2 linked regions of the Saccharomyces cerevisiae S288C genome follow. Changing the gene in region 2 together with the main gene of any one other region gives a genetic interaction. Each region holds a gene or a part of one and is shown on either strand. Other genes may lie near its edges.

Region 1 (3,036 bases), on a different chromosome or scaffold from region 2:
TATAAAAATCAAAGAACAGGATAAAGAAGATGTTAACAAATTGTTAGAGGAGGACACTTCAAAGATAAATAACTTGGAAGAACTTGAGAAACAGAAAAAACTGTTGCAACTAGAATTAGCTAATTTGGAAAAATCACAGCAACGTAGAGCAGCAAGGCAAAATTCGAAGAGAAATGGTGGTGCCACGAGAACAGAAAACTCTGTGGATAATGGTAGCGACCTTGCCGGTGTAACTGACGGGAAAGCAGCCAGGAATAAAGGTAAGAACACTACAAGGAGATGTGCTACATGCGGACAAATCGGGCACATTAGAACAAATAAATCTTGTCCAATGTATAGCAGTAAAGATAACCCTGCTTCACCAAAGTAGATTCAGTATAACGATGTATTGATCGAATAAAACTTTTGTAAAGGTTTTGTATAATGTAACAATAAAGAAATGTACACTATGTTTCTAAACACTGGCAGTGATCAGATTGATAATTTATTGAGTCATATCCTTAAACGATGGACGTGGTGTGTGAATGTGCACTTTTGCAGTAAGATGAAAAGTGCATATTATTTGAGTTCCATTAATATAGCCCAACTCACTGATTAAACACAATAATTGTTGTCTTTGTGCTCGAGTATTTAAAGCTTGTATTTTTCCAGTCTGATTGGAAATCACAGAGGTTAAAACATAAAGGACAATAGCAGAAAAGGTTCCCTAATATGCATTTTTCATACTGGTTGCTCTTTTCCTTTACAAAAGCAAATTCTTACTCAAAATTTAATCTTTTTCCCTATAGTAACCTGTTTGTCTTGATAAATATAATATGATTTATGTAGTTTTATTACTATAATTATATCAAAATTTTAATTTGTGTCTATTTTTTCCTCAACTAAGTTACCTTTTTTCATTTATATGCATTTGTGACGCACTCAAAAGTGTGATGCTGTCGTCAATTTTATAATGTTAAGAATATTAAAGCAAAAGTTTCCTAAAGTAATATCTGAAGTGCTCTAAAATCATAGTTTATCAAAAAATGCAACATTTCGAAAGTTCAGATAAGATAGAAAAGGATGATGATACATCAAGAATTAAATTACGCTCTTCTTCTTTGGCCGCTCCAATCCTCGAGGCTGTTCAAGAAGCCCAGCCTTTTGAAGAAGCCACTTTCTCTAACTTACAGAAGATACATCCGTTAACAGAAAACTCAACTTGCAATGGTTATGTTATTTACGATAAAGATGGAAATTTGAAATCCATGAAGGATACATTTGGTAGGAATATAAAAACACCTGATATTTCAAATCCTACAAGAGCAAGAAATGAAAGGCCATTGGATACAATACGTGGATTTGAATACTCCATAACAAAAGATCCCCGCTGGTTGCAAGAGCTAGAAACATCTAAGTTGGGATTTAAACCTAGACCTGGATTTGCCGTCATTAATCAAGACTCACAGGCTTCAATAAATTTATCTCAACTGGAAGAAAAAGTTATGGAAAGCCAAAAAAAAAAGGAGAAAAGACACATATCACGGCTTTCTCGGTTACTCTGCAGATGAATATAAAGATAAGTACGCTAAGATTATAAAAAGTGCTTGAAGCTCAAAAATATGTATTCCTTTAATTTCTGCGGTACCCTATGCCGGAGCACTAAGAAAAACACATTCAAAAAAATTTTCATACTCATCTCATCTCTACAATTAAACAATACATAAAACAAATATCGTGACTTAGTTATTTTACTTATATCATTCAATAAACCTAATCAATCAATGGCTAAATTACAGAGGAAGAGAAGCAAGGCTCTTGGGTCATCTCTAGAGATGTCCCAGATAATGGATGCAGGAACAAACAAAATTAAAAGAAGAATAAGAGATTTAGAGAGGTTATTAAAAAAGAAGAAAGATATACTTCCATCCACAGTAATAATAGAAAAGGAAAGAAATTTGCAAGCTTTACGGTTGGAATTGCAGAATAATGAACTCAAGAATAAGATTAAAGCCAACGCTAAAAAATATCATATGGTGAGATTCTTTGAAAAAAAAAAAGCATTGAGAAAATATAACAGATTATTGAAGAAAATAAAAGAATCTGGCGCAGATGATAAAGATTTACAACAAAAGTTGAGAGCCACTAAAATTGAATTATGTTACGTGATAAATTTTCCCAAAACTGAAAAGTATATTGCACTATATCCGAATGATACACCATCTACAGACCCAAAGGGCGTAGAATTGACAAATCTTAGAAGAGAACAATTTCTTAAATTAGTAGCTGAAAGAATGGATGCGAACACCTTAAACGTATCTTTCGAAGAGATATTGAAGGGAAAGAAATTGGATGAAGATTCCATCGGATTAACATTATCACCTGATAAAGATCATGAGGATGGATCACAAGTATCACCTACACAGGATAGAAAAGAATTGGATCAAGTTGTGGGAGAAGATGAAAAGGATGACTTTTTTGAGTAAAAAAATTCTAAATGCGTTATGTAAGAAAATATATACGAAGATGTATACTAGATAGATTTCCACTGTTATCTTTCACAAAATAATTGTTGTTTTAATTGTGTCTCACTAAGAGATTAGTTTATGGACCATATCATAACGTAATCCTAAAGCGTCATTAATAAGGGAAAATTGCAATTCTTCGCCACGAATTTCTTCGGGAATAAATAGATCACAATGTATTATGACCTCTTTATTCATTTGTTTTGGTTGACACCTTTTAATCATCAGCAGTTCATCGCCTTTGTGTCCAATTAAAAACCATAGTTCTTTTTGTATCTTAGGGAATTTATCACAATATACTTCAAACCCATTATTATGCTTACTAGAAAGGTGCTTGCTATAAAATGTTAACACCTCGTTATTTTCCTGTTCTTCAAATTTCATGCCTTCTAAAACCGGTAATCTTTGGCAGACACTGACGAAACGTTTTTTCGTATCTTCGCTTTCTGTCATTCCAAAAGTTAGTTGATCAAAAACATTTAATAATTTCTTATATCCAAACCTTCCTATTTCCTCCAAGGTTAACAGCTTT
Region 2 (3,650 bases):
TCCCTTGATGACCAAAATAAATTTTTACAAACTAGAGTTTCTGAATCTTTTGTGATTAGAACGTTTATTCTTATTTCTGAGGTTTTTAATTAGCAATAAAGAAGAAAAAACTGAAAGGAAAAGTCTAAATAGAAATACAGTAGTATTTCTTCAATTTCTCTGCTCTCCTTTCATTTACCACACCCATTTCAATTTTCTTTTTATTCCATATTTATTCAAAGGTGTTTGTTCATATGATGATTATAACAAAAACAAAAGCTGGAATTACTGGCTGAACGAGTATATGTTGATACGTTTTTGCACTATCCTGACCTAGCAAACACCTTTAAAATAAATACTAGAAAGTTGACACATTTCCATAAATTGGAAGAATACATTTAAGCTTAGAAAACAGTAGTTTTTTAGTGCTATTCTTCCGTAGATTGATGTTTTCGATCTATTTGATACAATGGAAATGAGGATCCACAGCACTGGGCACTGAGGGGGAAACAAATATCCTTTCAAATGAGTGACAATGCTTTAGCGGGCCTAGAAAACCCGCGCAACTGATCCATTGTAAGTTTTTCTGAGGGCTAACAGAATTTTCTATAGGGAAGAATGGATTTTTTTCTCATTTTCGTATAATTATGTGAATTGGTTTTTATGATGAGATATTTATAGATGACGAGTCTGATCATTCGTGAAGACACAACTATTAAAATTACCATTCATGCCTTTCTGAAGCTGTTTACATTATTCTTTTCGATTAGCAAAGAATTTGGAAATAGAAAAAAATCGACAGATAACTAGTTCATCAGTTGATGTGTCTGTATTGCTTCCATGTTTTTTAAAGAAAATTTCTACCTTAGAGACGTCAATGCTGCAGAAGATGAAACAAATTACTCAAATAGACAAGCATATGTCTGATCTTCATGATTGAAAAGAGCAATTAGTGTCTGATGCAATTTAAACTAGAAAATTTATCTGAGAGAGATGAGAGATCGTACAAACTGTTTCAAGGTTTTTAACTTTTCTCCAATTTCAAAAATTGTTTATGATGATTTCCACATTTCACGACGGTCAACTGCGTTTTTCGAATGTTTATCGATTAACTTTGATGATATTTCGCCTGTGACAGGGCGTGGTACTGAGCTTTAATATTTTTAGCAAATTTAGAAATTGGGTCAAGCGAACCATTGTAATGCTGACTATTTGGACGACTCTAATCTCTTCAATATATTTGAGTTCAAATATATTAACTTGAGTAAATTTTCTCTTGCGTTAATTATAACTAATTGTGATGTGATGACAACTTCTTGAGCTATATATTTTCTTGAGAACATCAATGAAGAAAACGTCTCATCAAATGATTTGCACGTCAGTCTGATCACAAGCCATATAAAATTCTTTAAGTATTTTATCCATTCTACCTTTTTCATCTGTTAGTGATCGATTAAAGCAACACCCAGACATTACATGGCCCATATGGCAAAAATTTTCATCTCATCTACCTCATCACTGTGTGCATTTAGTGTATGAATGACTACTTTAAGCAATTTAACCAGTATATACGTATAAAGAGGTCAAGTGTACGGATAACCCAAAGGAAACATGCCTTCCGAATCATCCGTCTCTATCTACAAGCTTGATCAGTTGGAGTATCAGTACCATTATTTGACAAAATCATTACAGAAGTTTGAACCAAGATATCCAAAAACTGCCAAATTATACAATTGTATAGGTAAAAAGAACAAAAAGAAAATTGAAAAACTGTTAAACTCTTTAGAGTTGAAAACTTTGGACAAAGAACTAGATGAAAGTTACTCAAAGTTACTCAATAATAAGATTCACTATTACGAGACGCATTTATCAAAATGTATAAAAGAACAAATTCAGAAAATATCCAAAAAAAATTCTAGTAAAGTGAAGGATGCTCAAAAAAATAAATCACCCTCTATAGATATTGAAAAGATGCTTGCTACGCAGTTGTCATTAGATGATTTAGCACTCTTCATGACAAGATTTAGGCTGATCAAAATCTTACACCAGAGGATCAAACAAAAAAGCAAAAAGATTGAAGGTGATACGAATAATAAAACTTGGTTGAATAACAATGATTATAGTGGTTATATCAATGATAAGACAAGTAAGTGGAACCCAAGCAATATATGGAATGAAGTTATTACGAAGCTGCCAAGTTGTGAAAAGTTAAACGCACTAATTGGTCAAAGTAAAATCGTTCAAAATCTAACCGAATCATTCGATTTGAGTATTTGTCTCATATTTGGATTTGATGTAAGCGCTATGAAAGCAAAGAAGTATGGAGCAAGGGAGAAGACGGCCAATGCTAATCAGACGCACTCCAACATTGACTATGACACCGATGACGGCAATGAAAAGAATGCCATCGATAGCAAATCTAATGCGATCGGCGCACAAACTCAAAGCAATAAAGAAACAACGTCCGACAATGAGGATCTATTGATAAAGGAATACGAGGGAATGCTAGGCAGTTCAGGAGATGAAGGGGAAGGCGGCGGATACTTGAACCCTAATATCAATTACAATGAAGTAACAGATGAAGAACCTAGCGAAGCGTCATCCGATGAGGATGACAGTGACGAACGCTTCAGCGACTCTGAAGAGAATGAACCAAGGAGAAAAAAACCAAAATTGCATAATTTACCTGAACTAATGGCTGGTTATTACAGTGGAAATGACACTGAAGAGGAAAGCGATGAAGACAACAAAAATGTTAAGGGAAAGAAGAAAAAGAGAGACACAGCAGAAGACCGTACGGCCAGAGAGCAGATGTCAAACGAGCCAAAGAGGAAAAACAGACGTGGGCAAAGGGCAAGAAGAAAGATTTGGGAAAAAAAATACGGCTCACAAGCCAAGCACGTTCAAAGGGAATTGGAAAAGGAAATGGAAGATAGAAAGCAGAGGCAAATCGAGTACGAAGCAAGAGTAGCTAAGCGTGAAGCTAAAGCAGCATCATTAGAGGCCTCTAGGAGTAGGGAACGCGAAGACAGACGTACTGAAACGAACAATAAGAAAGAAAAAGAAAGTGCATCCACTGGAGAAGAACATCCTTCTTGGATTGCAAAAAGATTAGCTGAAGAAAAATTACAAAAAGCTAAATTTGAAGGTAAGAAGATCAAATTTGATTGAACATAACGTCTTCATCTCCTAACTTCATGTATAATAAAAACTATTAGCACATCTATTTTATATATGTACGCGTATATCTTACATCGTACCGTTATAGCATTTGAATTATTGAGCTTTTGTATCATCTACCGCTGTCATGCTCGCCTTCACGGAACTTAGTTATGCGAAAAAGAATTCAGGAAACCAAAGCTGGCAGGGTGAGTATTTGTTTGTAAAGTCGCACCTTTAGCAGATCATTAGCTGTAGCGTATGGAAGAAAACTAAATGAAATTGTTTATAAAACCTGAATATGATAAAAGAAATCTAAATAATAAATATGATTGCTATATAATAGTTATATTTGAAATGAAGAGAAAGGGAAGAAAATAAAAGTATTCAAAACGCCAACCCTTAATGAAGTAAATATGATTTATTGTCTGGACAAAGTTCTGTTTTTCCCCATTATTCGAAGACTTCTCCAGTAATTGGGTCTCTCTTTTTGAAAGTCAGTAACAAATCAT

The links.
Region 1: mutations in BUD22 (region 2) and EFG1 are lethal when combined (synthetic lethality), as found in Saccharomyces cerevisiae (one study listed by BioGRID).

The regions. Positions count from the first base shown.
Region 1 is NC_001139.9:1,037,229-1,040,264, reverse strand, and holds EFG1 (Efg1p), read left to right. Parts: upstream 1-1,763; coding exon 1,764-2,465; downstream 2,466-3,036. Other genes in the region: TAF1 (histone acetyltransferase), read left to right, coding at 1-370; YGR273C (uncharacterized protein), read left to right, coding at 1,026-1,550; SLH1 (RNA helicase), read right to left, coding at 2,571-3,036. UniProt on the Saccharomyces cerevisiae protein: Involved in rRNA processing. Required growth at elevated temperatures, resistance to hydroxyurea and for cell cycle progression.
Region 2 is NC_001145.3:297,278-300,927, forward strand, and holds BUD22 (Bud22p), read left to right. Parts: upstream 1-1,590; coding exon 1,591-3,150; downstream 3,151-3,650. Other genes in the region: ERG5 (C-22 sterol desaturase), read right to left, coding at 3,592-3,650. UniProt on the Saccharomyces cerevisiae protein: Involved in positioning the proximal bud pole signal.